Linked DNA regions of Tamandua tetradactyla. The protein of the gene in region 1 interacts with the protein of each later gene in a pairwise test. Links are inferred from orthologs where the notes say so. Each region holds a gene or a part of one and is shown in the gene's direction. Other genes may lie near its edges.

Region 1 (7,805 bases):
CCTAAAAAATAAGAACTAAATGGGAGGATTAACACCCCCAGACTTTAAAATCTTTTATAAAGCCACAGTGGTCAAAACAGCATCGTGCTGCCACAAAGACAGAAGCATTGACCGATGGAAACAAATTGAGAGGGCATAAATAGATCACCAAATCTATGGTCAACTGATTTTTGACAAGGCCCCCAAATTCTTTGAACTGGAACAAAAAAGGCTTTTCAATAAATGGGCATGGAAGAACTGGATCTCACTAGTCAAAAGAATGAAAGAGGACCCGTATCTTACATCTTATACAAAAATTAACTCAAAGTAGATAAAACACCTAAATATAAGAACTAGCACCATAAGGCTTCTAGAAGAATATGTAGGGAAACATCTTCAAGACTTACTATTGGGAGGTAGCTTCCTAAACTTTATACCCAAAGCACAAGCAACAAAAGAAAAAATAGATAAATGGGATCTCCTCAAAATCAAATGCTTCTGCACCTCAGAAAACTTTGTCAAAAAGGTGAAGAGGCCAACTCAATGGGAGAAAATATTTGGAAATCACATATCAGACAAAGGTTTGATTTCCTGTATATACGAAGAGATCATACAACTCAACAACAAAAGAACAAACAATCCAATTATAAAATAGGCTAAAGATATGAATAGGCATTTTTATGAAGAGCAAATACAGATGGTTCAAAATCACATGAAGAGATGCTCATTTTCACTGGCTATAAGGAAAATGCAGATCAAGACTACAATGAGATACTACCTCACACCTATAAGATTGGCTGTTATTAAGCCATCAGGAAACTATAAATGTTGGAGAGAATGTGGAGAAACTTGGACACTTATGCACTGCTGGTGGGAAGATACAATGGTGCAGCCACTATGGAAGACTGTTTGGAGGTTCCTTAGGAAACTGAATGTGGAGCTGCCCTATGACCCAGCAATAGCACTACCTGGTATATACCCAGAAGAGCTGAAAGCAATGACACAAACAGACATTTGCACACCGATGTTCATAGCAGCATTATTCACAATTGCCAAAAGACGGAAACAAACCAAATGCCCATCAACAGATGAGTGGATCAACAAAATGTGGTATATACATATGATGGAATATTATGCAGCAGAAAGACAAAATGACGTCCTGAAGCACATGACAAGATAGATGAGCCTTGAGGACATAATGCTGAGTGAAATTAGCCAGACAGAAAAAAGGACAGATACTGTATGATTCCACTTTTATGCCCAGTATGAAGGTATAATCAGAGACTTATAATATAGAATACAGGGGACTTGGAGATGCTTAGAAGCTAGAGATGGATGAACCATTAGCTAATGAGGTTGAACTCCAATGCAAGGGAATAGATAGGAGTGAAGGTGATTCTCTAGTGGGTCTAGAAGTAATTTTACCATATTGAAGATGAACAAGATTGAAAGGGATTGTATAGACCTATGTATCTCACTGACTCACACTTGAAATATGAATGAGTTCTTGTAAGAATTACTTCAAAGATTTGATTCTTGTATAAAGAGTGTTTAAGTCCAGGGTACAGGGGGAAAACAGCTATTGCATGCTGTGAGCTATGTTCAAAAGGAGACCATCAGCATTACCACAGCAACAGCAGAGGTAAATAATGGGGTGAGGGACAAGAGTTAAGAGGAAGTTTAGATCTCCTATTTGGTCAGAGTATGTTTATTGGTTTTCTGTCTCTTCGGAGCAATGAAATTATCTAAAATTGAGAATGTTGATGGACTGTGGACGTTAGGCCCGATGAATGCTGGTGGCTGTAGGATGCAGTGATGGAGAAGTAGAATGGCAAATGATGGTGTATACTTATGAACAATGCTGTGCTGCTACAAAAAGGAACATTGTCGTGAAGCATGCAATGGTGTGAATGAACATGTAGGGTATTTGGTGAGACAAAATAAGCCAGAAGCAAAAAAACAACAATGTTATGGTCACCTTTAGAAAATGCTTATAAGAAAACAGGAGCCTAGATTTTAAGCTTTTAGAGCAGACACATTAGGTCCAGAGTGGTGATTATTATTTCTGGACTTTGACATATATATATAAATAGATATATATATAACCTGATATTTAGAGATAAGAACAAAGTCAAGCAGGTTAGGGTTAAAGTAATTCAGAGCATAGGGGTAAGGAAGACAATGTCTATGTTTTAGAACCACACATACTCTTTCAGAGCAATGGAAGAAAGGTTTATTTGGTCTGGAACTGAAATTTTCTGTAGTGCATAATCTAATTCAACCTATCTGTATAGCTCATTTGAACAACTGAAACACAGAGAGCACAGAATGAGAAAGAGGCCCTTTAATCCTGTATAGATTATTAATGCCTGGAAACATCCTAGAGTATATTAACCAGATAATCAAAAAGTATTGGCAAGGTCCCCTGAGGGAGGGGAGAAAGACTCTGGAACTATTAAGCCTTACCATCAGGGAATCCCTGATACTGTGTCAAACTTCAGGGACACCCAAATCAATAAGCCATGCCCTCGATCCTGAGACTTACTCTTGTGAAGCTTATGTAGGTAGCCTAGACGATTAGAGTAGGCATGCCTAAGAGTTACTTCTGGAGGACCTCTGTTGCTCAGATGTGGCCTCAGTCTCTCTAAGCCTAACTCTGAAAGTGAAATCATTGGCCTCCATGCTACATGGGAAATGACATCCAGGGGTAAAAGTCTCCCTGGCAGTGTGGGAGAGGACTCGCAGACCTGGCACTGTGGGATCAACAATTACTTCCTGACCAAAAGGGTGAAAAGAAGTGTAATTAATAAAGTATCAGTGGCAGAGAGAGTTCAAACAGAGCTGAGAGGCTACTCTGGAGGTGGCTCTTATGCAAGCTTCAGGTAAACTTTGCTACCTATTATAACCTGCCAACCCCCAACCAGGTCCACTCCAGCCAATTCTAAAGAATACCTAGGGCAACTTATAAGATTCCACAAGGGTTTCAGGCACTAGAGTAACTTGCCAGAAATCTACACTCTCCAGATGAGTCCCTGGTCCAGACAAGTTCTGCAAACTAGCCCAGCCTCTCCAGAACATCAGATACTTCCATCTCTCTATCTCACATTAGTGGCAGACCCTTCCTATATAAAAATTTTACAATTGCCATAGCCTGAACAACCCCAATGCGAGGTATGGAAAGATCAAAAGTGACTTAACAAATGAATAGGAATGCTGAATCATTAAACTGATATCTCTTTTAGTCTCCAGTATTTTAGAGCAGCTAGAAGTAAAAACCTAAAATTGTGAAATTGTAACCCATGTTAAAAGTCTGAAACATGTTCTACAACTAATTGTGGTGCTGTGCTTAGAAATATATAGCTTTTTTGTATATATGTTATTATTCACAAAAAAAGAAGGAAAAAAAGTCAATTGTGATGATAAAAAAGAATATATGCCTCCTATATTCCGGAGCAGCTAGAAGGAAAAATATGGTAGCCCACAACAAACTCTGGGATCTGTCCTGTAACCACTTTTTGAAGAGTGCTTTGAAAACTATTGCTTTTTTATTTCTTTGCTTTGTATGTATGTTATATTATGCAATAAAAAAAATTTTTAAAAAAAGGGTAAACAGAGGTCACTAGGCTCAAATAATTCCAAAAACGTGCAGGGCAAACTCCAAAAAAAAAAAAAAAAAAGTGCAGATAGTAGCTATTATTGGGAAGAGGTAGTGATTTTTAGGAGGTAAGAGGGGTCTTCTGAGATGTTGGTTGTCTCAGCGGTCCCATGACCACCCACTAGTTCAATAATTAGCTAGAAGAACTGACATGGTTGAGGTCCTTCCCTCAACATGAAGTTATATTCACACTTAAGATTTATGACAGCATAGGATACAGCACAGGACCAGCAGGAAAAAGTTATGCACCAGCAAAGTCATTAGAAGTCCAATCGGCTTTTAAAATTTTTTTTTACAATTAATTCTTTTTTTCAAACTTTTTAAAATTGCACAATATAACATATACACAAAGCAAAGAAAGGAAAAAGCAATGGTTTTCAAAGCATTCTTCAACAAATAGTTACAGGACAGACCCCAGAGTTTGTCATGGGCTACCATATGATCCTCTCAGATTTTTCCTTCTAGCTGCTCCAGAATATGGGAGGCTCGAAGGAATAACAATTTTTTAATCATCACAATCTACTTTTTTCTTTCTTTTTTTTGTGAAAAATCACATATATATAAAAAAGCAATAAATTTCAAAGCACAGCACCACAATTAATTGTAGGCCAGATTTCAGAATTTGGCATGGGTTGCAATTCCACAATTTTAGGTTTTTACTTCCAGCTGCTCTAAGATGCTGGAGACTAAAAGAGATATCAGTTTAATGATTCAGCATTCCTATTCATTTGCTACATCCTATCTTCTCTGTATAACTACACCATCACCTTTGATTTTTCTAGCCCTCTCTTTAGGGGTATTTGGGCTATGGCCATTCAAACAGTCCAACAAGCTTTTTTGCTTCTTTCAGCAGGTATCTCAGGGAGCGTCTTCTCTGGATATGAATTTCAGGGACTTATGCCAGATGTTTGTGCCCAGGAAAGTCAGAATGAGTCTTGAGTTCCAAAGCTCTTAAATGGAAGAACTTATCTGGTACATGGCCAGCCATGGTGTGAACCCCAAAGCAATCCCCCAATGCACATCGTGAATCCTGGTGTTTACTTTACATGACAAACACAGTCCGTCTTGACCCAGTGCTTAGGGATATGGACTAATATGATTACCTAGTCATTATGTGAACATTAGAGTCTTTTAGTTCTCAGAGTTGACCAAGGGTCATCACCATGGTAACACACTTAAAGGGGAACTGGGTGAACCAGACCTGCTGTGCTAACTCTTTCTGCTCACTTGGCAATGCTCTTTCTTCTTCTGAGGACTGATTATATGGGTACGTTTAGTTTGTACTTACGTGTGCATATTATACTCCAAACATTATATTTTTTTAGTGATTTATGTAGCAGCCCATCTTCATCAATTAGGGCTATTTTGAGAAGATAAATACCTTTTTGCAGGTTCTTGTAAGGTTACTGAAACCCTGGGAGGTTATCAACACAATATTAGCCATCAAACCAAAATGGGCTCACCTGACATGCACAGTAGCTTAGACTTTAAGCTACAAGTCACCTATACCTCATTCTGCCATTTTCTTACATTCATTGTTTGACTAAGCAGGAATCAACATATGCTCAATAATCAGATCACCGCTAATTACATCATCTGGGGCCACTGTGTTCCTTATCCTAAACCCTGCCCAATTTTTCTCTAATAAAGTTATCACAATTACTGTGGTTCTGGGAGACAGACTTTGGGCCACTAGGCCATCTGCTCTCCTACTATACGCTTAGCAATAAACTCTTTCTCTCTTTGGAAAAAAAAAGTAATAATAATACTAGGAAACATTGGGGACTATCAAAAACAGGAAAAACTCTAAATCTAAGAATTATTAAAGTAAGTGTAAAGAGAGTTAGAGTGAATTAAATCTCCTATACTCAGTTTCAGAATACTTCTGAATGTGTGGCAGTAATTATGAGGAAAATTGTGGTCCTTTTGGCCATTCTTGAAGTGTCTGAAGTGATCAAAATAATCAGGCATATCAAATATGTAATTCAGATCCAAGTTTTTAAGGGAATTTAATCAATTGCATAATCTATGTTAAAAGTGGTTCAAAATAGGTTTTCGATTTCTTTGTACGATATTTTTAATTTAAAACGTGAACCCAAAGGCCTGGGTCCTCCCAGCGGGTCGTTCCGAGGATGTGGCTCTGGGGTCTGGGCTCCAGGTGGCGGGTCGCCGGACCGTCCCTGGGCGGTGGCCACAGTGGCCCAGGAGGCCAGAATGAGCAGACAGTTCCATTCGGCCTCTCGCCGCCCACCCGCCTCTTTGTCCTCTGGGGCCTCACAGGGGGCAAAGGCCTTGGTGGGGGGCATCTTTGTAGACCCAGTGAGCTCGCGGGCAGGAGGGCTGTACCTTCTTCCAGAAGCTTCCATTTGGAGGTACTTGAAGGCCAGACCCAAGCCCCAAGGGGTCCCTTGAGTGGTGCAGGTTGGACACAGCTGCAATGGGGGCCTGGCCTTGGGGTCTCCCCTTGAAGACCGAGGGGCTGCTGGTGCTGTCTGTGTCAGGGACCAACAGCGACTGGAATAGGCCCAGGTGTTGTACCCCAGGACTTATCTCCCAGAGGGAAGAAGGCGGATAATTAGTAAGCAAATAAATAAATTAATAAGCTAATTTGAAATAATAATAAGAGCCCTGATAGGAAAAAAAGACTTTTAAAATACATGTGCAATAAAAACTCAATAGATTTGAGTTAAGTTTGTCTTTTACTATTAATTAATTATGTAATCTTGAGCAAGTTCCTTCAGCTTTCTTATCTGTGCAGTGAAGGGGGCAATAGCTTCCTTCAATGAGATGGTCTATGGCGCTGTCCTAAAGGTCCAATTTTGCATTTTAGAAATTCACTGCTTTGTTACCATTGGCTAATCCAACAAATGCTTTGTTTATCTCCCATGGCTGGGGCACTAGGTTAAGTGACATAGAGAAATGGAATGTTGGAAAACACAGGATTAAGAGCAGGGCATGCAAACATCGAGACAACTCCAAGCAAGGAAATGAGGCCAGAGTGAGCCTGAGGAGCTAAGGAAGACTCCGGCAGTATCTGAATGGTATCTTTGTGAACCAATAGGATTTCAACAGGAAAAAGGTAGGGGAAGCTAATGGTGGAGGAACACTTACACGAAGGCTTCCTGCATGGAAATGCCAAAGTTTAACAGAAAAAAGGTTGGCCTTGTTGGCTTGAGGATTATGAAGAGGATGTGGAGAAATGAGACAGTAAAGAAAGATTTGCACTAAACCATGAAGGTCCTTAACTTCCATGTGAAGGACTTTGGGGACAATGAGGACCTGAGAAAGTTTTTAGGGTGAGGGAGAACATAAGTGGACCTGGATTTCAGATTCACATTCTCAAACAGCAAATTAGTTCCCTAGGAATCAGATTTTGGGACAGAGGTCAGTGTTTGGGGAGTTTATTAAGCAGTATCCTTTGGACACAATGCCCTGGGACAGGAGGAGAAGAAAACAGAAGCAGCAGAGGGAGAAATCGAGAGGGATGCAGGCCCCGTGGCATCTTGGCCAATGCTCCAGGGAGATCTGGGGTGGCCTTCAGAGCTGACCCAAAGTTGACCAACAAAATCTTTAATCATTGGCCATTGCTTCGGGGCTACCCAGGAAAGGCTGTGGCATTGGACAAGGCCATTTTCTTCCACTGAGATGATCCCATGACTGAAGGCTGCCTACTGACCACACACCCCGGGATAAGTGAGTCCTTCACTGTAGGGGGATCTAGGTGGTGCTTTAGAACTATTCAGGGGCCTTCAGAAATCTGGTTTTCACTCCAAATTGGTAGCCATGGAGGAAAGCCAGGCACTTTTATTTTAAATGAGCTTCCCTAATGATTTTTTAAAAAATTTTTATTCTAGTAATATACAGACAACCTAAAATTTCCCCCTTTTAACCATATTCAAATATATAATGCATTGCTGTTAATTACATCCATAATGTTGGGCTGCCATCACCACCATCCATTACCACAACTTTTCCATCATTCCAAATAGAAACTGTACATTGTAAACCTTAATAGATGATTTTGGTGCACAGAAATTTGATAACTTCCCTTCTACATAGTCATTCAAAAGCATTGTGTAAAGACCCTGGCCAGGCCTAACCCCTTTGCTTTTGGCACATCTTTTCTGCCCCCAATTACTTTTCTTTAATATTCACAGACACTCTATGAAAG
Region 2 (7,558 bases), on another chromosome or scaffold:
ACTCTTGACTTTGCGATAGCTCTTCTGGAGACCTTTGAACTTGGTCCGACACTGTTCCAGGGTCCGGAAGAAGCCATACTCCCGGAGTCGCTCAGCCACAGCCCCATATACTTGGCTGTTTCGATGACAGTTCCTAAGAGCCTCATAAAACTCAGTCTGGCTGAGAATTGCGAGGAGAGTTTTGGTTTCTTCATAGCCCCAGTGTACCCCTGCCACCTTCTCATCCTCAAAGCCCCAGGGATCCTGTTCCACCCAGCTTCTTCTCTCTCTCCTTTTTGGTAACAGATCAGCATGCATTCGTCTATCTCCTGTATGATCGCCTCTTGGGAATTCCCTCTCCTTGGAGCCCAGCAGATCTGGGATCCATGGCTCTCCTTGCTCCAGCCTGGAGGCCACACCATATTTAGGAAATGGAAATCCTGCTTGCAGGGAAGTAAACAAAGGATATCATAGTTTGGACTGCTCATAAAACACCTGTGAGTTTAGTCCTGTCTTTTTTATCAAGATGATTATAAGGAAAGCATCTAGGGAAATGTTTCCAGAAAGTTCACTTTGTTGAGGAAAGTAAAAATACTGGAAACCTTAAAACATGAGAAAGATTTCCTTTTCCAGAGCAGGGTGACTAGAGATGAAGAGATCCTGTTGTATGCTCAGAGCAGATAATTCTATTCCAAGTTGCTCCCTACGGCTTCTGACCACCACTTGTATGCAAGTCCTAATGCTGTTGGGAACAGTCACCTCCTGTCTCCTACAGTTGCTTCATCTGGGGCTAAAGAATTAAACTCTGTGTAATCTCAAGGGTGGGAAATAGGGGATTGTCTACCAAGGTCTAAAGGCATTTCCCTTAGTATGTCCTTCTGCTCTAATTTTATTGGCACTATCCAAGTCTAGACTCCTTATCCCGTCACACCCGGATAACCACAGTAGTCAGTCACTGCCTTACCTCGCTTCAGGCCCTCACTTCCTCAATTAAAATACTATTGCTGCCAAATTAGTGTGTTGTGAACACCATTCCCATCACATCTCTTCTTGCTCAGAACTTTCATCAACTCTCTAAATCTTAACCTCATCCAATTTAAACTCCCCTGCAGTTTCTGAGATCAGAATCTAGCCTTATCCTACTTATTGAATCTTAACCTTATTGCCTACCACACACTCTCCATGCATATTAGACTGTTCTCTCCAGAGCACAGCATACCTTTTATCCACCATTCTGTACTTTTCCTTTAATTCCGTCCTATCATATTGAACCCATCCTTCTAGAAGTTCTATATACCAGTGCCCTCAAGTTTTCCCTACACCATCCCTACCTTATCTCTCACTCTGCCAAACAGATATAGTACACAACTGAGTGGTAAGTCATTGTTTGGCACTGTTTCAATACAATTCTGTTCAGCACGTATTTATAATTTGCTGTGCGTCCTCAATCATACTGTAAGATCTTTGAAGACAGGCACCTCTTCTTATTGCACAGAGTACTCTGCAAGGTTTTGAGCACGTGGTAGGTATTCAAAAACCACTTTCTGATTAACCTGCAAGTCTGGTGTGTGGTTCAGGCATTTGATCTGGATGATGAGATAAAGACCATTACCAAACTGGTTGAGAAGGCTAAGATCTTGGACGATAAGATTAGAATTCAAAATAGCCTCAAAAAGTTAAAGAACAAAGTAATTTGCAAAATGGAGTTCAATAGAGTACAAAGAAGAAAAACAAGTTCTACAAAATCAAGTACAAGAATTAGCAACTAGGCACACTTGTAATAGAGAAAGTGATAAGAGTCCTGGAAGTTACCACGTGAACAAGAATGATCAAATAATCCTAAATTGGACTATACTAAAAGAAAATGTAGCAAAATTGTGAAAGAAAAGCTCTCATTCTATCTCTACCTACCAGACACTCACTGGAATAGTTCTCCACAAATAACATGACATCTGGTGAACTTAAAGGTTATAGAGGAGAGTAAGAAAAAAACTTAAGTCTGAAGAATTCAGCTTCAGGGGCAAAGCTTAAACAACAAATATAGTTTTATATGAAGAAGGAAAATGAATAAAAGAAGCTGGGTCTTCAAGTATAGAAAATAAGTTTTATCTAGAAAATAGTGACCCACTGTCATCATTACCAAAAGGAAATAAAATAGTTCCAAATTCTGATAAAACTATGGAGCCATCCTCTAGCAGATTTATCAAAAGTAGAAATATAAAAATACTGTAGGCAGAGGGCTAAATTACATGTCTTCAGGAGGTCCCCAACATCTGCATATTCTACAATTTTCCACTTATTCCTGAAATCCCTTTCCCACTTTCTATTCCCAACCTTACTTCCCCAGTTAGAATGGTATGCTATCTTCCCACATGAATCTACTCCTCACCGCTCCTTTGAAAAGGTCTGAGCTTCTCCTTTGGGTTCATCTGCTCCTGTGGTCCCAGGTCTGGGCTTCTCGCCCTCTCTTTCTTGGGTACACCCCTGGACTGGGGTTCCACTGACTCCTGCCGAACACTTAATAACTCCCGTGATGATTTCAGGGGTGTCATCTTCTCCAAGCGCACTTCCTGCCCCTTCACAGAGACTGTGACCTAGAAACAACCCCCATTAATTGTCACTGCATGGTCGTAGTGGGGGGGGGGCATTCCCAAAGGAGATTAGTTAATACCCCAAAAGAGAGCATCCTCTGGGACACGGCTGCGATTATAGGGGGAGGAGATAATACTGAACATGGGTCTCATTCCATTACTGTTAGCTTAGAGCAGCTGAACTCTAGAAGGAAAAGATCAAAACAATAAACCCAACTACAGGCTAGAAAAAGAAAAATCCCTCTGTCTTCCCTATTAAGTAAGAAACCACGAATAACTCATTATGGCAGGGTAGGTAAAGGTACACCCAGGTAAAATTTCCAGACAAGCTCTATCCGAAAAACTTACCTGTTGCAGTTAAAATTGCAAAAAGGGACTATGCCCTTCTTTAAAACTATCTATATATTTATCTGGCCCTTTACCCTTGCCCCTTTCCAATCACACATTTCTGAATTCCCTCTCCCTTCTCACCGAACGTCCAGGTCTTCCAGGCTTTCTTTCTAAATCTTCTACCAGAGCCACTGCCTCCTCTCCACTTTCTGGACATTGCTCCTGTACCCAATTCTGGATCTCCCCAGGTAAGATGGTCAGGAACTGCTCTAGCACCAACAATTCTACAATCTGCTCCTTGGTGCGCACCTCCGGCCTTAGCCACCGACAGCAAAGTTCCCAGAGTTGGCTGAAAGCCTCCCGGGGCCCAGCCACCTCCTGGTAATGGAATCTCCTGAAGCGCTGGCGGAAGGTCTCAGAGTTAGTGCCATTCCCTCTCAAAGTGGGTTTGGCCATCATTCATAGCAGAAAGCAGCTTCCCTCCACTTAAGTCTGGGTTCCAGGGCCTACACCTATTTTCCCATGTCCTTGGAGAAGCACCTGCAGAAGACTCTCTCTCTGTGAGAGGAGTTTGTTCCTATAATAGAGAGAGATGGCACTATCAGAAGGAATATATTTATATGCCTAAAGTCTTGTCAGGATTGGCCTGACTTCCCATATGCTCCAAGTGGCCATCTGAGGTAGCACCATCTTCAGAGCAGCAAGCCAACACTATGAGCATAAAGGAGTGGGACCTTTCAAAAGCTGCCTTTTGTGGGTGACGTCCAGGACAGCCCCGGGGAAGCAGCAGAGAATAGTATTGTGTGGGGTCCTGTCCCACATCCCCCTTATCTGGTACTATTTAGCTCCCCTGACCAATGACAGTGAATTTGAACCATATGGGAGACTTGGAGCTCGGGAGGATCTAAAGGCAATTCACGACCTGCTGAAAGCCATGGAAAGTCTCTGTCCAGCGGGTTGCAGATGATCTCTCCCAGGACCCTCGCAGTCCTCCCTGAGGCCCTCTGAGTCCGCCCCGCCCCGCCCCGCCCCTTTCAACTTCACAACTACCAATTTCCATCCCAGAGAAAAATCAATTACTGAATATCGGATCTTTGTTTCTCCCTCAGAGCATTAGTAAACTGCTCAACAAGGACTCGGGAGCTACTGAAAGGAAACCATGCGCATCTAAAGTTGGCTTAGGCTCCTGAAACTAAGGCCGAGCAGACTTGGAGAGAGTAACATCGAGTTGGTGGAGGAGTTGGAGAGGGCAGTGGTGATGGGTTTCCTGGGAATGATGAGTTCTGGTGCTGACCAGAGCCTCCGAGTGCTGCGGGGTTCGCGGGCGCGGGGCTCAGCTTAAGCAGGGGCGGGTAAGGGGTTCCGGCCTCTTTGTCTTGGCTCCCTCTGGCCGGGTCACTTTTGGAGCCCCCGTGAAGTCCCTTCTAGAGGCCTTCAATCGGCCTAAGGCACCCTAAGAGCGCCCCCCCCGGCCCACCCCTGGGAGCGTCTCCCTCAGGGGCTGTCCTTTAACCCACTCGCATCCCTACCCAGGACAACCTCACCCACTTCGGGTCCGGCCCCAGCCCCAGCTCTCCAGCCTCCCAGTCCAGCTCCCAAACCGGAAGTCCGAGCGGGAGACTCGGGACACAAAAGGCGCATGCGCGAGCAGCCAAGGCGCCTCCATCTCCCGCGGAGACTGTAGCTAGAGAGCCGGCTGGCCCGGCGGATCGCCGTGCACTTCCGGTGCTCGGCGCGCAGACCTCTGTCGGGTTTCCCATCTGCTTTTCCCGCAGCAGTTCTATCCGTGGGCCTCATTGAGGAGAACCTTCCCGCTCACGGGCTTGTGCGTTCGCCAAGGAGGGAGCGTCGCCTCCGTGGTCTTCTGGAGGGACGCCGGAGGAGAGGGTGACGTATCCAAGGACTCGCGTTCCTCCGTGGGAATGATCCACGAATTGCTTTTGGCTCTGAGCGGGTATCCGGGGTCCATTTTCACCTGGAACAAACGAAGTGGCCTCCAGGTAAGGAGCGCGGGAAGTAACGAGCATATATTCCCGGGACCTGAGCGCGGGAAGTAACGAGCATATATTCCCGGGACCTGAGCCAGAGCCTGGGGTGGAGTCTGAGGGTGTGGAGAAAGCGAGACTTGCAGGCGCTGTGGTTGAAGGGGCGTGCCCCTGAACTGGTAACTGGAGTCCGATGCCCGAGGGGCCTCCGGGTTAGAGGCCGTTCTGGGGGAAACTGAGGGCAGATCCTGAGAGGCCTCACCCTGGCGGGGGACGTGAGACTCAAGGGGCCTAAGGGTCTAGTGTCCGAACCTGAGGAGCTGGAGAACTGCATGTAAAAGTGAAAGAGGAGGAGGAAAAAAGGTGAAAGAGTCACTTTCTCCCATTTTTACACTTGCACTGTGCTTCGAACTGAATTTTGAAGGCCGGCCCAAATACACAGCGCTTGACACGTGCTCAGCAAATTTTGTTGAATGAAGAAATGAATGAGAGCATCTGATGTGTTCCACTTATTACTCGGAAAGGAGTAATTTCCGCAATAGGTGGAAGTGTAATCAGGGCTGTATGAAGTGCTATGTGTTAGACATTTTACATATGCATTATCTCATTTAATCCTCACACCCACCAGTCTCTATTTTACAGCTGAACCTAGAGTCAATATTATGTAACTCTCGGCGTCACGTAGTTGATTAGTAATTAGCAGAGCCTGGCTTTGAACCCAGGTCGTTCTGCCTCCAGTTATCTGAACTATTCTTACCTATTTCTGCTTCCCCTAATGTTATCCAGTACTCGCAATCACTTGAGAAGTTAGATATTGTGAGCCCCAGCTTACAACTGAGCAAGCTGAAGCTCAGAACTTCATACCTGGAGTCCTAGTGGTGACAAATTGAATCTGGGTCTGTGTGGTCACAAAGTTGTGCCATTATTATGTTAACTGACGTTATAGGTTGTGGAAGAGCAGAAAAATTACATTATAGTTTATAAAACGTATAAATCAAACAGATTCCTCTTGTTTTTATAAATTTATGTTTGCAGGTTGGGAATTTAGGTGAGGTTTCCTTAAAAAAATAAGCGAGTTGAAAATTTGTATGGTAGAGTTTGAATTGTTACTTTTTTAACATTTTAAAATTGTGAAGTATATTGTATATACAAAAAAGCAATAAATTCCAAAGTACATTGTAACAAGCAGTTATTGAGCAGATTTCAAAGTTTGGTATGGGTTACAGTTCAACAATTTCAGGTTTTTCCTTCTAGCTGCTTCAAGACACCAAAGACTAAAAGGAATATCTATACAGTGATTCAGTAGTCATACTCATTTGTTAAATCCTATCTTCTCTGTTGTAACTCCTCCTTCTCCTTTGATCCTTCGCCCAATCTTTAAGAGTATTTGTGCTCTTCCCATTCTAACTTTTTCATGCTGGAAAGGGTATTGATAATATGGGATAAGTGCATGAAACTCGTTGATATTCTTGAAGAGGCTAGCCCCTCTGCGTTTCAGGTCTTATCTGGCCTAGGAACTACCTGGAGATTGTAGGTTTCTGGAAAGTAATGTTCACATGTGAAACTTTCGTAGAATCTCAAATAGAGCCTAGATATTTTTTAGGTTAACAGGAATGATGTTGATTGAGTTTGGCAAAACATGGCTATTAGCAATAGCTAGCTGAAAGTTACCTAAGAGTAGCCTCCAGAATAGCCTCTCTACTCTACTTGAGCTCTGTTAGCCACTGATACCTTATTTTGTTACATTTCTTTTTCCCCCTTGTGGTCAGGAAGGCATTGTCAATTCCATGGTGCCAGGGCCAGAGTCATCCCTGAGAATCATGTCCCACATTGCCAGAGAGACTTTCACCCCTGGGAGTCTTGTCCTACATAGGGGGGAGGGTAATGATTTTCTTTACAGAGTTGGGCTTAGAGAGAGAGAGGTCATATCTGAGCATGAATTGTTACTTTTTTAGTACAGGTCTTTGAAGACTGAATTGGTGTTTTATTTTTCCTCCATAGAACTTTGCACAATTTCAGGCATATAGGCGGAGAATGTTCACTAAGTATCTACTGGATGTTTGACTATCTGAAGTAAAAGGAGATTAAAATAGAGTAGAGGAGAGGTAGCTGCTAGGAGCTGAGAAGGGAACCACAAGTAATTCAGCTTTCTTCTTCCTTTCTTTTTTATGAAAAAGTCTCTGTTACTTTCCTCTTTTTTATTCTTAGTCTCAGCTTTAAAGATACCTCCTCAGAAAAAGTTTCCCTGGCACCTCTTTCAATTAGGTATCTTCCTTTTATGTTATTGTTCTCTATCACTGCCACCTGTTTATTTCTCTTATAATACCACAAATCATTAAGATTTATTTATTGTTCTTATCTGTTTATCCTTTTCCCTGCATACATTGCCCATGGAACAGAGACCACGGTAGCCTTCATCATTATACCTGGAGCATCTAGCACAACTTCTGCCCCATAGTAGGTATTTAGATATTTATAGAAGAAAACAAGGTGACCAAAAAAAGAGAATATTGCTTTCTTTCTCAGAGTAGTGTTTTTTACAATTGAATAAAGGGGAAAAAACTGTCATGGATACCCAATGTTGATGAAAATTATTTTATTGTAATATCGAATATGTATACACACACAGCTATGTATAAACTAAAGCATAGCTTGCTCTTAACTATAAAGCCA
Region 3 (7,806 bases), on another chromosome or scaffold:
CTAGGGAACCACTGCCTAACACAACGTCTGGAAGATGCTTCCCTTTGTTTTCTTCTACCAGTTTTTAAGTCCTAGTTCTTATATTAGGTCTTTGATCCATTTTGCATTAATTTTTGAATATGATATGAGATGGGAATCCTCCTTCGTTCTTTTGCATGTGGTTATCCAGTTCTCCCAGCACCATTTATTGAAGAGACTATTCATTCCCAATTGAGTGGATTTGGCATTGTTGTCAAAAATCAATTGGACCTGGAGGAACTGAGTGTGGGGAAATGAATGGACATTCGCACACTGGTGTTTCTGGCGGCAGTGATCACTATCCACAAAGAATGGGTAGCCTAAGGATAAAATGACTGAGGACTGGAAGGGGAAACAATGGTGTATACAATGGACTACTGAGCTGCTGCAAGAAGGAATGAAGTTGGAAGGCATGCAATAAGATGAATGAACCTTAAGAACTGAATGTTGAATAAAATGTCAGGATAAAGAAAAATATTGTCATGCCTCAATTATATGGTCTAACTATAATATAAAAACTCACTGAATTAAAGTTGAGAGCATGGGTTATCAGGTTGGGGCTTTTGTAAAGGGTCCTAGATTCTAGGCTCTTACAGCAGTCACGTATATTCAGGAGATGTAATTGTTAATTCTAAATTCTGAGATACTGAGCTGCTTGCATGTAACATGATCTTTCCCAGAAACTTCGGGTATTTATGTGACACCTAAGACTCAGAGTCAGAGCTCTGAAGCTATGAAAGTAAGCAGTACCCCGTACAGGAACAGTTTAAAAAGTTGAAAAAGTGATCAGACATTGAGTAGAGATATGAATGAAGCTGATCTGGACAGGACTAAGGTATATAAGAAGACTGGGAAAAGGACAGTATCATTCATATCTTAAAACTTCGACTTCTGTGTGAGACTAAAGGGATAGATGTTTATTTGGGACAAAATTTATATTTTGGGTAGTGCATTTCCTAATTTAATTTGTGTGGTCAGTTTAGTTGAACACCTTAAGTACAGGGAATCTTGAATAGGGCATGAGATTTTGTTAGATTGTCCAGGTTAGTGTGATGTCCCAATAAATCCCAAAATGATTCAGACAGTGAATAAAGAAGTAATTGCCAGTTCTCCTTAGGGGAATGGGGAGAAAGGGGAAAAGATTCAACTTCCACATTTGGAGAATTTCTGATACTCTCACAAAGCAGTGGGGACAACCAAATCAATAGGCTGAGTCCCCAGTCTTGGGGTTCGCCCCTATGAAATTTATTCCTGCGAAGGATAAGCTAAGCCTACTTAAAATTAGGCATAAGAGTCACACACACACACACCCAGAGAACCTCTTTTGTTGCTCAGATGTGGTTTCTTTCTCTAAGGTGACATGGCAAGGGAACCCACAGCCCTTCCCTCCTATGTGAGACATGACTTCCAGGGGTGTAAATCTCCCTGGCAATGTGGGACAGAAATTCCAGGATGAGATGGGACTCAGCATCAAGGGATTGAGAAAACCTTATTGACCAAAAGGAGGAAGAGAGAAATGAGAAAAAATAAAGTGTCAGTGGCTGAGAGATTTCAAACAGAGTCAAGATATTATCCTGGAGGTTGTTCACACAAATTATATAGATATTCCTTTTTAGTTTATGGTGTATTTGAGTGGCTAGAGGAAAGTACCTGAAACTGTAGAGCTGTGCTCCAGTAGCCTTGTTTCTTAAAGATGATTATATAATGATATGGCTTTTACAAAGTGACTGTGTGATTGTGAAAACCTTGTGTCTGATGCTCCTTTTATCTATGGTGTGGACAGATGAGTAAAAAATGTGGATAAAAAATAAACAGATAATAAGAGGTACAAAGATTAAAATAAATTGGGTAGATGGAGATACTAGTGGTAAATACTAGTGGTCAATGAGAGGGAGCAGTTAGAGGTATGGTATGTATGAGTTGTTTTTTTTAAGGAGGAGGTTCATTCATTTTTTTCATTTATTCATTCATCGTACAAGTATTTTGGGTGCCCATTTGAACAAGTATAAGGCCTTTTACTAGGTTCTCATTTGGCCCCAGAGACAGGAAGAAATGCATGCCTTCCCAGAGAACTTATAAACCTTCCCTTTTGGCGTTTTCTGGTTACGGTATGGTTTAATCCCTAATTAGCACTGCATGGTTTAATTCCAAATCCATAACTCTTATATTTCCTCTGGCCACTATGATAAGCAGGTAGCTGGGTTTTCTATGGAGCTTGCTCTTGAAGTTGCAGAAATCCTCCCTGTTGTAGATATTTCATTTTTTATAGCTCATCCCTCATGAAAAATGGCTGTTGCCACTGTTGGAACAGAAGGAGGGATAATGACCAACCAATTCCCAAACCCAGTTTCACTGGGCCCAGCTTTGGGAAACAAACACCCCATAATCAAGCTGCTGCAACTGATTTTGAAATGTATTTACCAGTTGTATCCATTTTAAATTATTTTCTCTTTCCCTGCTTACAAATATATATTGCCTAAATAGATCTAGTTCAAAACAATCCTCATAGAGCACCATGATAAAACTGGAGATGGAGACATGATTTGTCTTTTGTAACAGCTACGCAACTTAAACTATAGAAGTGTCCTCCTCTTTATCAACAAAAGCTGCTCAAGAAAGGACTTGGTTTTTTGTTTGTTTTAATTTTAATTTTTTTAAAAATATATAACAACAAACACAAAATTCTTAAAATATGATCATTCTGGTCTACATATATAATCAGTAATTCACACTATCATCACATACGTGCATATTCAACATCATAATTTCTTAGAACATTTGCATCAATTCAGAAAAAGGAATAAAAAGACAACAGAAAAAAATTCATACATACCATACCCCTTACCCCTCCCTTTCATTGATCACTAGCATTTCAATCTATTAAATTTATTTTAACATTTGTTCCCCCATTATTTATTTATTTTTAATCCTTATGTTTTACTCATCTGTCATTAAGGTAGATAAAAGAAGCATCGGAAGCAAGGTTTTCACAATCACACAGTCACATTGCGAAAGCTATATCACTATACAATCATCTTCAAGAAACATGGCTACTAGAACACAGCTCTACATTTTCAGGCAGTTCCCTCCAGCCTCTCCATTACATCTTGAATAACAAGGTGATATCTACTTAATGTGTAAGAATAACATCCAGGATAACCTCTCGACTCCGTTTGGACTCTCAGCCATTGACACTTTATTTTGTTTCATTTCTCTCTTTCCCCTTTTGGTCGAGAAGGTTTTCTCAATCCCTTGATGCTGAGTCCCAGCCTATTCTAGGATATCTGTCCCACCTTGCTAGGAAGGTCCACACCCCTGGGAGTCATATCCCACGTAAAGAGGGGGAGGGCAGTGAGTTTGCTTGCTGTGTTGGCTGGAGAGAGAGGCCATATCTGAACAACAAAAGAGGTTCTCTTGGGGATGACTCTTAGGCCTAATTTTAAGTAGGCTTAACCTATCCTTTGTGGGGTTAAGTTTCATATAAACAAACCCCAAGATTGGGGACTCAGCCTATTGCTTTAGTTGTCCCCACTGCTTGTGAGAGTATCAAGAATTCTCCACTTGGGGAAGTTGAATTTTCCCCTTTTCTCACCATTCCCCGAAGGGGACTTTGCAAATAACTTTTTTATTCACTTTTCAAATCATCCTGGGATTTATGGGGGCATCACTCTAGACAAACCTTCAAAATCTTATGTCCTGCTCAAGGTTCCAAGTACTTATTGTGTTCAATTAAGCTGTCCACATAAGTTATATTAGGGACTGCACTAGTCAAAATATAAATTTTGTACCAAATAAACATTTTTTGGAAAGGACTTGTTTTAGTGGCATAATGTCGATGGATGAAAACGCTTTTTAAAATGTTATCCTGCTAGCTTACTCTTTTTTTCTTTTTATTTCTTTTTCTGGAGTGATGCAAATGTTCAAAAAAGATCATGGTGATGAATACACAGCCATATGATGATATTGTGAGCCACTGATTGTATACCATGTATGGACTGTATGTATGTTGAAGATTTCTCAATAAAAAATATTTTTTAAAAAAGAACGTAACAATAAAAAAAAAGCTTACAAATTTAAATAAAACACACAGGAACTATTTCTACTACGAGATAGCCAAACGTGAGTGGAAAACGTCATCGACCCTCCATATGACCTCCCTACTACAAGAGGCAATTAGAGGCAATTAGACATAACAGGTTAATGTCCACTTGAACCCCATTTATGGATTGTGGGCCGCAAAGCTGCAGTCATCAATGATGAATTTGAGACAATCTGACTCCGTTAAAAAAAAAAAAAGTTTAAATGCTCACACTCATTACCATTACCGTGATTCAAACTCAAATCTCCCAGGTGAGTAAAAATCAAATCCAGGTCGATAGGTTACATGGGATGTACTCCCTTCCCTGCAGACCAGAACCATAATTAACTTTTGCAGGTCTCTTTCCACAGCCCTTCCTTTTAAATATCAAATGCTTTACTCCCTTTCTCTATCTCTACCTGTGAGTCCCACCTCCCCCAGAACCCGCCAAATCCCATTAAACCCCACCCCTACGAGTTCTGCATGCTCCCCATAAGCTCCGCACGTAACTTTCATTGTCCCTACTAGCTGGTTCATTGCCAAAACAGCCCCTACTCGCACGCTCCGCAGTCTTCACTTCGCTTCGGATACATAAAGCTCCGCCCTTCTCTTCTCCGCTTTGGCCAGTCTTCTTCCGTTCAGGACCGCCCCCTCCATACCTGGCCATATGATTGGCCATCCGGCTTGCCATTACATCATTCATCCGCGCCACCCGGAAGCCGCGGTTCATACCAACTCGCCGTTCTTTTTCCTGGCGGTTCTAAGGTACGGGCCGCATTTGGATGTCCCTGAATGGCAGTGTCCCAGAGTTGGGAGGGACGGAAGGCGGAACCCCCAGGTTGGGTCGGACGAGCCCATTCCCAACGTCAGGAGGGTGGAGATGTGCTGGTCATGAGGCCGAATTGGAGTGATCAACATGTCTTCCCCCTCCTAACTGTCCAGGAGCCCATCATGGCGACGCCCCCGCCCCCTAAACGGCGGGCCTTGGAAGCCACGGCAGAGAAAGTGCTGCGCTATGAGGCATTTATCAGCGACGTGCTACAGCGGGACCTGCAGTGAGTGACTGGATACGGGGCAGGACGTTTGGAAAGCTCCACGTGGTGGGCGGGGTGTTCAGAGTCAGGGCCGAACCTTCTGATTGGTGAGCGGGCGTTTGGAGCTCGTCCCCTCGCCCCTTGCTATCCGGAAGGAAGGACTACATTTGGGGTGAGGTTTGGCTGGGACTTGGCGTTCAGAGTGGCAGGCACGTCCGCGCCTACGTAGCCTATGATATCGCGTAATGGTTCAGAGCTAGGTTTCTGGACCCAAGTTCGAATCCCGGTTCAGCCACTTGCCATCCGTGTGAATACCTTGTTCCTCGCCTCTGTGTGCCTCAGTCTCCCCAGAGGTGAAATGGAGAAGTAGATAAACCTCATGCAGTGGCCTTGGGTTTTCAATGAATCCTATCATTGTAAAGAATTTAGCATGAATGCTGGAAACATACTAGAGCCTCAACGAGTATGAAGAATTGTTATTAATGTATCATAATCCAAGCAGGAAGTAGAGTGCTCAGAACTAGGGCTATGAGAATTTTCTAGGGTAAAGATGGGACATTCTCATCGAGGAAGATATTTGGGTTGGAGTATAATAATAATAGTAATAATTAATAGCTATCATGTATGTAGAGCTTACTGTTTGGCAGTCACTATTCTAAGCACTTTATATGAAACACTCATTTAATCTTCCTAATGAATTTGAGGTAACACTGTCATCCCTGTTTTATAGATGGGAAAACTGAGTCCCAGAGAGGTTACTTGTCAAGGTCACACAAGCTAGTAAAGGGGAGAGCCTGGATTCAAGCCCAGGTAGTCTGACTCCAGAGGCCAAAATCTTAACTTCTGCACCAAAATGCCTCTTCATGGCGTGGTAACATGAGGGTCTCAGAGGGTCATGATATCAGGTATCCCCAGAGGGACAGGATCACGTATTGGTCACCAATTAGACTCTCACCCCATCAGAAAGGTGCTGGACCATCGTGACAAGGTATATGAGCAGCTGGCCAAATACCTTCAACTGAGAAACGTCATTGAAAAACTCCAGGTAAAAACACTAGGGTTGGGTACCTTTGGGAGATGGGAGAAGAAACTCCAGAGCAAGACCTGTCACCTGACATAAAATCTGACACCTGACCCCTACCTCTTTCTCCCTCACCCCATAGGAAACTAACCATTCGGAGTTATATATGCAGGTGGATTTGGGCTGTAACTTCTTCGTTGACGCAGTGGTGTGAGTGCCTACCCATCTACCTACCTTTGAATCTACAAGGTTCAGCATCCCCCCTCCTTCATTCAACAAAATATTTTTGAGCATCTGCTATATACCAGACACCATGCTAGGTTCTGGGGATGTGACAGTGAATAAAGTAGGACAAAAGTCTTGCCCTCCCAGAGCTTCAATTTGGGCCAGGCTGGGGGTAGGGAGGAATCAGAAAACATCTTAAACTGGCTGGTATGCTAAATGATGTAAAGAACTTTACACCTCCTCTAACCACTCTTTCATTAGCCCAGACACTTCACGGATCTTTGTGGCCATTGGATATGGCTTTTTCCTGGAGCTGACATTGGCAGAAGCTCTCAAGTTCATTGATCGTAAGAGCAGCCTTCTCACAGAGTAAGTTCCATTCATGAGGACAGTGTCTAAAAACACCACCATTATCAATACCCTTCTTCCTCTTCCCATGGCTACCATGGATGATACTTTAGGACCCAACTCCCTTCCTTCTCGGGGCTGGGGCTGAAGAAAGTGAGAATGCAAAGCTTAGCACCAAACACAGCACCTAATAAGCATTCAGTTATGGTCTTTGTATTGTTCATTTGCACAAATATTTATTGGGCATCTTTTGGATGTGATAATGGCATTGCACTCTTGAAGGACAGTGGCCTTATTTACACACAGGAGTGTTTAATGGTAAAGTGTCATGATGCCTGGAACTTTCATATGGTCCAGCAAAAAAAGCATGAGTTTGTAGAGAAAAAGAGAAAGTAGATGTAACAGATGATTAATGAGTTATGAATCTGGGTGAAGGGTTTACAGGTGTTCATTATACTATTTCATTGGTTCTGTAGGATTGAAATTTTTCAAAGTAAAAGAAAAGCTTCAAAAAATTTTTACAGTTGATTTGTTCAAATCCACAAAAGACCATATAACAAGGTCCATATATCACACTTGGTTGATAGGTCTTTTAGGTCTCTATTACTTTATTTCATTTTCTAGGATTGAGAACTATTTTGATGGCTATAGAAAACCAGATAGGGTTATATACAACCTTTTTCTCTCCCAGAAGTTTAGATGTGAATTAAAGGAGAAAAAGATGTGTACCCAGTGGGAGAAATGGGAGGGAGGAGGAGGTGTTTGTTTTCAAGAATGGTCTAGTAATAGTGATAAAAATAATAATAGCAAACATTTACATAGCACTTACTATGCCAGGATAAGCACTGGACATTTTTCACTCATTTAACCCTCACAACAACCCTATGAAGTGGGTACTATTATCCCATTTTCAGATGCATGATTGAGGCCCAAAAAAGGTTAGAAGTGGAGATGGGATTTAAACCCAGGCTTTCTGGCTCCGAATTTGTGCCCTCCAGTGGATTGAATTGTTTAATGTCTGAGGGTTCCCTGTTCATGGAAAGAAATACTCAACACTGTTTTTATTTTGTTTGGTTACTTAT
Region 4 (7,682 bases), on another chromosome or scaffold:
TTTTTGCTTTCATTTCTCTTAGAGTGGAATTGTTAGGTCATATGGTAATTATTTATCTAACCTTATGAGGAACTGCCAGGCTGACTGTTCCAAAGTATATGCACCATTTTACATTCCAACCACTAATATGAGGGTGCCAACTTCTCCACATCCTTACCAACACTTGCTATCATGTGGCTTTTTTATTATAAAAAAAAAGCTGCTTTTAAAGTGTTCATTCAATCATAATATGCCCATTATTTTTATGGACTTTAAGATGCTCTTATTCGCTGACATCAAATTTTAAACTTGAAAAAAAATTCAGCCCTAGACCTGTTCATTTAGCCTGCTCACCTTTTGTATAAGGGGACAGGAGACCAAAAGGGGGATAAGAATTATATCAGGCATCAGTAGCTAAGAGAGTTCAAATAGAGTCAAGAGGTACTCTAGGGGCTACTTTAACACAAACTTCAGCTAAATATTGCTATTTATCATGGTTTGCCAAACTACAATCAAAACCATTCCTGACAACTCTAAAGAACACCTAGGGCTCTACCTGAGATTCAATAAAGGTCCAACGCACTATGTTTACTTGCCAAAAACCTACAACCTCCAGATGCTTCCCAGGCCAGATAAATCCTGAAACCCAGAGGGGCCAGCCTCTCCAGAACTTCAGCTAGTTCCATCCCCCTATCCCATATTATCCACAGCCCTTTCCAACATGAAAAAGTTAGATGAACATAGACCAAATACCCCTAAAGATTGAGAGAAAGATCAAAGAAAAAGATGGAGTTAGAGTAGCTAGGATTTAACAAATGAGTATGACTGCTGAATCTTCATACTAATATTTCTTTTAGTCTCCAGTGTCTTGGAATAGCTAGAAGTAAAAACCTAAAATTGTGTGACCCATACCAAACTCTGAAATCTGTTCTATAACTAATTGTCACAGTGTGCTCTGAAATGTATTGCTTTTTGTATATGTTATTTTTCACAATAAAAAAAATAAAACAATCAGGGAAAAAGATAATAATGAAAAAATTAAAAGCACCACATAAGACATAATTAAAAATCACGGCCTCTCAATATTAAAAAAATAAATAAAATAAGGGGACAGAATACAATAACTAAACCGCCATCCACAAATAAAACTCTTACAGAATTCTGCTCAAAGAGATCAGTAGCAGATTTTCAAGCAGTCAATAAACAAAGTCCCTAACAAGGATTCAGCAATAAAGTAAACATGTATTCCAATTAAAACTCATTTGTAACGCCTCTTTCACAAATATGAGAGCCCTTCAGCTATCATCATCTGCAAAAGAACCAAGATGTCTTAGGTTTTCCCACCGAGAAATGGTAATCTATTTAAAATTTGATGTGTAAGTACAGACCTAGTACCATAAATACACATAATGCCTGACTACTCTTTGACCCCAAACCAAAGACAAATTGCACGGTGCAGCCTTTTTCCAGTTCTGCCCACCACTGTTCCTTATATTCTGAAGGTAGCACTGCCAGTAGAGCAAGCAGCAAATAGTACTAACACATTTACAGCAGCAAGACCAAGAACTAACCAGGAATAGGACTGAAGAACCTCAGCACCTAGTGCCACATGTCACCCAGCAAATGTTTTCCAAGAGTCAAAAATGACATCTTAGCCCGGAAGGGAGATAAACTACTTCTGAGCTGTGGAATTAACTTTCTGTTTCCAGGTCAGACCACTTCTGAGATGTGGAATTAACTTTTTGTTATCAGGTCAAAGTTCTGCACTTTGACTACTTTTGCCACTGTAGTGAGAGCACTGAAAACACGCCTGCTTCCTTAAGAAGCTAGAGTCAACACATGCAAGCATTTACGGCAGAGTTGGAGGTAGCGCTCCATGGCCACTGTTCTACTTGCCCATGCCCATGCCCTGCATTTTCCTGCTTAATTAGAGAAAGCATTTCCAACTCAGACAAATTTAATATATATTGTAAATAGTATGCATCTACTATGTGCCACTGCAAGAAGACACAAAAAGGTATAAAATATAGTTCCTACAGGAGAGAGTTTAGGTAAGAGTTTCCTTCCAGAGGAAACACAAAAAAATTATGTTTAAAAGAGCAAGTACTAAAAAAAAAAAAGAGCAAATACTATTTTATGTTTTTTGCTTAAGGCCAAAAGGGCAATAACACTACTGGAGCTCAGAGGGAGTATCCCCAGGAGCTAGAATGTTTTGTGAGTGTTTCACAAAGAAGGTAGGTAGGAAGGTAGGACCTGAGCTGAATCCCAAAGGAAAAGAACTGGAGCTGTAGAAAAAGGGCATCCCAAACAGGCAAAGGCCCTTTGATTCAGAGAGGATTTGTGTAGGGAATAACGTATTGAATGTTTAGCAAACCATTTTGAGGTGGGCTAGAGCCAGCTTCACAACAGCAACCTGAATGCTAAATTAGGACATCAGATCTATATTTCATAAGCCTGAAGCAATTCCTGACTTCTGTGCAGGATCTCATTGAAGTATTTCTGTTCCCTCAGATAGTTAAAAGTGTCCAACTTCAAAGGTGAATCACATAAAGACAAAGAAGTTAAAGGAGATTTAGTGTCCACTATTATAACAACACTTTCACCCATTCGCCTCAAAAATATCCAGAGCAAAAATACTACTATCAGCTAACTTTGGGTGATACCATGCTCAATAAAGAATCACCCACTACTCAAATATTCATGAGGAGGTAAGAGCATTAAATAAAAGCAATAAAAGTTCTTAGATATTCTATAATATTCCTTGGGTGAGCAGTTCTAACATAGAGTTAGTCTATGGAGTGGATTTCAATGGGCCCTTGAACTCCCTAAAATTGTATGCAAAAGGTAGTGCTGAGAACTTTTATAAGGAAAAAGCCTGTCTCATTCTATATCTCAAGAGATCTAATATCCAAAACAGGCTAGAAACCTATGGGTTATTTTAACAGAAACCAGCAAAAATTTAACCCCATTAAACGGTTAATTTGGGAAGCCAGGTGCCTGACTTTCTAAAGGAAGAGTTAGTGGAAAACAAAGATATCTTGAGGCAATTTTCAAAAGTCCCTATTATTTTAATGTTTCCCTCCCTTCTTATCAAGAACTGTCCAAGAAACTGGTCTCAGCAAAGTCAAAACTCATTAATGATTCAAAATATGGCCCCGAAGAGAGCAATTTAATAACTAAAGACTACTCAGCTCTCTCTTCTCACAAGTATAATCTCAGACAAACAACAGACGAACTGGGTTCAGTATTTGCTCTCCAAAATGACTCCTAAGCAAGAACCTGGTTTCTTTCAAAATCAAACATTCTTAGGTGACAAGATCCTGACACAAGTGCACAAAGTACACTTTTGTATGACCGCATACAAGGAGCCTTTGTGGAGAAGCTATGGGACCAAAGGAAAGAGAAATGTGTTCTAGAGCTATCAAAACTGTTTCTAGACCTGCACATTCTACCGGGGTTCTCCAACCACCCCCCAACTCCACCCTGTCTGAGAGAAAGGAACCTGTTTTCATAAGGCAAGATACATTTAGTACTGTTCTGTTAAAAGTTCATTTTAGTAGTTCAATATCATCCACTACAGCAAAAACAAGTTTCATTTCTTTTACTGACTCGAATACACTCCTGTATTCCTTCATCAAACTGGCGGAACAACACTAGGGGACACAACCAACCAAATCATGACTGTAACATTCACTCTCTCCTAGAGAAAAAGAGGAAGACCTTACCACACTCCAAGAAGTAGTAGTCGAGAAGCCAAAATAATTATGTTCCAAAATAAAATTCAGGAATCACGGACATTTAACCAAGCTCTTCAGGAAGAAGCAAACGGGTACCGAGCTCTGAGGCGCCGGGAAGCGTGGTAGAGGGCCCTGTCAGAATCAAAGCGCCGTGACACCGGCCTGCCTGGCTGGGTCTTTCGCCTGCGTCTTCTAGTCTATCTCCGGCGGTCTGAAAATCACTCGCAGGAGCGACAATTAGGAAAGAGATGCGAGTATTTCCCATCCGGGAGCCACACAACACCCCTGAGAGCATCAGCGCTAGGGCCCAGCGGAGACCCGGGCTACGATCGGAGAAGCCGGTTTCCAGCTACCTCGTCGGCCCGCCCCCGGGTGCGTGGCTCTCCGACTCCATCCCTGCTGTCCCTACGGCCCGGCCCCACAGCCTCGGCACCGGCCTCTAGTAAGCCCCGCCGATGGCCAGTCAGAACGCTCTAGCAATGTTCGGCCAATGCCCTAGCCCCGCGCCCGCCAGCCCAAACCCCGCGCCCACCGCCGACTGCAGGGCGGCTGTCAGGCGGGCCTTTCGGTCCGGCTCCTGTCACTCACCGGCCCAGCCCGGGCAGCGGGCGCCCACGGCTCCCCACGGGAGCTGGGCCCCCCGGGCCTCCAGATTTCGGCCCGCCCCCAAGCAGACAGCGCAGGTGGCTGAGCCCCGCAGCAGCGGCCCTAAACCGGCCGCTCGATCCAGCTCCCAGCGCTGCCCACTGGGTACGGATCAACAACAAGATGGCGGCCAGCCGAGGGGGCGGTGACCGGGCGTCATAGCAACCAGGACAACGAAGAGCCCGCCCCTAACTTAGGTTATTTCCAATCAACAGCCTCTGCGCCAGCCGCCGGAGGGGTGCTTCCCACTGACAGGCCGGCCCGCCTGTCAGTTAAACTGTGCCCCGCTAGGCCCCTGCTGAAGCCCCGAGCACGTGACTATGACGCACGGGTTGGCGCGTGCGCGTCGTGCCCCGAGTCGCTGGCGGCAGAGTTCTTGCCGGCTACTCGAGGACTGAGCGCCCTTGGTCTCTTTGCGCGCGCGGGCCCCGTGCAGAGCTGGCAGGGTCTTCCCACACGCACGCGCACACACTTAGGGAATGCCTGCTGTGTGCTATTTGCTTTGTCACCCACGCTGGGAGGAAGGAGTTGTCCCCGGTTTACTGGTGAGGAAACTGAGGCGCAGAGAGTGAAGCCTAGGCCAAGGTCACTACTAACCCATGGTAGTAAAGGTGCAGGGTCTCGTATATGTGCTTACTGACTCGAGAGGATAATGCCCTCTTCCCAGTGGCGTCCCCAGCTTTTCCCCTCATCTGTCCCGAGGGTTGCCGTCTGCTGCCCCGGTAGCCCCTGGCCCTTTGCTTTAGCTGCTCCTTTTGTCTGGAACTCATCCCTAGTACAAGCCCTGGCACACAGCGGACACTCCCTCCTCCCTGTCCTAAAGTATCTTGTCTTGAGTTTCTATGACAGCATCTTTTGCCCCGGACTGTCCTGACATGCCTTCAAAACACCCTCCACGGGAATTTTGAGTCCCTGCAGACGGTTATCTCTGGTTCTCCACACAAAGCACTGGGTTTCGCTCCAGGCTTTGGCGCCAGGCGCAGTTACACACCCTGGGGTCCAATGTTACCCGACTAGCCAGCTCTGTTACTTTTGAGCCTTGGTTGACCCACCTGTAAAACGAGGATAATGGTCATGCTCCTTAGAGGTGACAGTGAAGATTTAATGAGCCCTTAGAGCAGAATAAGTGCTCAGGAAGAGTCCACCTGCGGATCTTTCCTTTAACAGCCTGCTCCCAGTTTGCCATCCCTGAGGCCTGATCTGATGTCCTCACTTTAGTGGGAGCCTGAAAGAGATGCTTTTCTCCTTGCAGAAGGCCTTGGGCTGCTTCTATGGTTACCATAACTGGCTCGGGAAGGAACGGCCTTCAGTGGCATCAGAGGGTTCGGACCCACAGTCTTGGTTGAGGAGGGGGGGAAGACTGAGAGAACCTGGGAACACCTTAGTAAGGGTAGCCTCACCCAGAGAGTAGGTCCCCTTAGCTAGCAGTAGCCGGAGACCTGATTCCAGACTGGCATCGATTCCAGAATGGACCAGCACTGCACCCAGGGGACCCAGCCCTCCAGGTTGCTGTGGGTCACCTAGCTATGTTCAGTAACTCATCTCAGCATAGGACTGATCATGGGCCAAGGAACGAGAAGAAACTCAGAATGAAATGGGGCACCGTCCAAGAAGGGCGCCACCATCACCTCCTCCACAAGTAGTCATACCATAGTCTTCTCAAGTCTGCACCACCCCCACCCTAGTGCAAAAGTTCCAGATCCTTCCCACAATGACCCACACACGTTGAGCCAATTGCCATAGAGATTGGTGGGTCCTTCAAACAGCAACTTTGTCCTCTTCCAGTGAGAAAAGGAAGCTTGTGGCTCTCCCTGCCTGCCAAAGCTATATGGCCTCTGAGGGGACAGACAGATTCAAGGTCCCCCTACCTCCAGGGAGCATCTGGCAGTCATAGCATTGTATGATGACTTCTTAAAAGAAAAATAATCCTGTGACTCCCTGGAGTGTGCCCACAAGGTAGGGCATTCTCCAAGTGAGAACAAAGAAACACAGACCTCACAGCTTCCACCACTGGGATTTTGAGGATTGTAATTTTGTTTATTGTTGAATCAGCTTGAACACACAGGCCATGACCAAGTGAAAAAGAAATTCCACACATAGTGAGACAGCTGCTTGACCTCAGAGCCATCGCCGGGCTCCTGTGCACGTGTTGAACAGGTAATCTCTGCCTGTACCTATGTCCAAATGGCCAGGAGAGAGGAAGGGCATTGCCAGCCTCAACAGAACTGCCCCTCTGTCCTAAAGGTAGGGAAAAGCATTCCAGGACTCTGGGTGTGACTCTCTTCTGCTGGGATCCAATCTTTCCCCTCCCTCCCTTCTCAACTCAGGAAGTCCTTCAAGGCCTGGTTCAAATGCCCAGGAAGCCTCAATGCCCCAAAACTGAATGCTAGCTTTCATAAGGCCAGTGCCAGATCATTTTGCCATATTTCACTGGTGACACTGGAGTAATCTGGGAGCCCCACCCCACCCTACCCCACCATGGATAGAGAGACCAGACCAGGTCTGAGTCACAGGTGTTTAACAGACTTTTTCTGAGGAGTGAGCAGGAATGAAAGCAGACCCAAATCAGGGAAAGAGTAGATACTGGATGCCTAATGTTAGTTGGAGATAGGGCCCAGGTGGAATATGGTTTGGGAAGGGGAAACTCACAGTAGTCCTGTGCTCTGCCATCAAAATGCTGATGAGGGGGAAAATGAGAGGTTGCAATGAATTGAACTCTGCCGACAGAGGAGCAGATGGAGGCCTGCCCCTGAAAGGGCCAGAAGGCCACCTGCCTCCCCCATCCTGATGGAGCAGTCATGTGTGTTTGCACGGGGGCAGCCATCCATAAGGAAAAGGGCAGGCTTGAAAGGGCAAGCAGTACTCTGGAGAGACCTCAGTGCCCACTACTTGGATGGATGGGTTGCCATACCAGGCTCATGACACTGCTGGGTGCCTGAGACGTCTCCATCCTCGGTGCCTCTGTGAACCCCTCAATGGATGCCTCAGTTCCCTGGATGCTGGGGAAAGTAGGAGCAGGGGATATAAAATAAGGCTCTTGGCCCCAGCCTGAGTTTAAGAGGTGGGCTCCCAGTATGGAGCAAAGGCAGCTGACCTGTTCAGCAGCAAAGTCTGGGCTGGTTTGCTCGATGCTTGCAGCACCTGGACCACCCTAAAATGCCAGAAAGAGGGACCAAGAAGTAAGGACAACAGGCCTGATAGCTCCGGGAACCAGTACCATTCATCCACCCCTTTATCCTGAGGACAGCCAATATCTATATGTGATGCTCACATTGTTACCCCACCTCTCCTTGGGCTAGTCCTGTGCTCACAAGGAATCCA

The links.
Region 2: the proteins of PAK5 (region 1) and TUBGCP4 interact in a two-hybrid assay, tested with the Homo sapiens proteins (2 studies listed by BioGRID and IntAct). The two-hybrid records come from large-scale screens. The link is inferred for Tamandua tetradactyla from reciprocal best matches to the Homo sapiens genes PAK5 and TUBGCP4.
Region 3: the proteins of PAK5 (region 1) and UXT interact in binary tests that used the Homo sapiens proteins (3 or more experiments, as listed by UniProt). The two-hybrid records come from large-scale screens. The link is inferred for Tamandua tetradactyla from reciprocal best matches to the Homo sapiens genes PAK5 and UXT.
Region 4: the proteins of PAK5 (region 1) and INKA1 interact in binary tests that used the Homo sapiens proteins (3 or more experiments, as listed by UniProt). The two-hybrid records come from large-scale screens. The link is inferred for Tamandua tetradactyla from reciprocal best matches to the Homo sapiens genes PAK5 and INKA1.

The regions. Positions count from the first base shown.
Region 1 is NC_135327.1:50,970,899-50,978,703, forward strand, and holds the start of PAK5 (serine/threonine-protein kinase PAK 5), read left to right. Parts: upstream 1-4,804; 5' UTR 4,805-4,901; intron 4,902-7,805.
Region 2 is NC_135340.1:57,627,003-57,634,560, forward strand, and holds the start of TUBGCP4 (gamma-tubulin complex component 4), read left to right. Parts: upstream 1-4,547; 5' UTR 4,548-4,822; coding exon 4,823-4,900; intron 4,901-7,558. Other genes in the region: ZSCAN29 (zinc finger and SCAN domain-containing protein 29), read right to left, coding at 1-419, 2,369-2,573, 3,042-3,359. UniProt on the Homo sapiens protein: Component of the gamma-tubulin ring complex (gTuRC) which mediates microtubule nucleation.
Region 3 is NC_135353.1:122,466,610-122,474,415, forward strand, and holds the start of UXT (protein UXT), read left to right. Parts: upstream 1-4,795; 5' UTR 4,796-4,861; exon of another isoform or gene 4,862-4,934; intron 4,935-5,038; 5' UTR 5,039-5,047; coding exon 5,048-5,151; intron 5,152-6,093; coding exon 6,094-6,175; intron 6,176-6,293; coding exon 6,294-6,361; intron 6,362-6,637; coding exon 6,638-6,745; intron 6,746-7,806. UniProt on the Homo sapiens protein: Involved in gene transcription regulation. Acts in concert with the corepressor URI1 to regulate androgen receptor AR-mediated transcription. Together with URI1, associates with chromatin to the NKX3-1 promoter region.
Region 4 is NC_135341.1:36,327,195-36,334,876, reverse strand, and holds the start of INKA1 (PAK4-inhibitor INKA1), read left to right. Parts: upstream 1-4,675; 5' UTR 4,676-4,906; intron 4,907-6,146; 5' UTR 6,147-6,317; intron 6,318-6,353; exon of another isoform or gene 6,354-6,413; 5' UTR 6,414-6,479; coding exon of another isoform or gene 6,480-6,535; 5' UTR 6,536-6,545; coding exon 6,546-6,605; intron 6,606-7,010; coding exon of another isoform or gene 7,011-7,038; intron 7,039-7,272; coding exon of another isoform or gene 7,273-7,360; intron 7,361-7,455; coding exon of another isoform or gene 7,456-7,510; intron 7,511-7,682. Other genes in the region: CDHR4 (cadherin-related family member 4), read right to left, coding at 6,480-6,535, 7,011-7,038, 7,273-7,360, 7,456-7,510. UniProt on the Homo sapiens protein: Inhibitor of the serine/threonine-protein kinase PAK4. Acts by binding PAK4 in a substrate-like manner, inhibiting the protein kinase activity.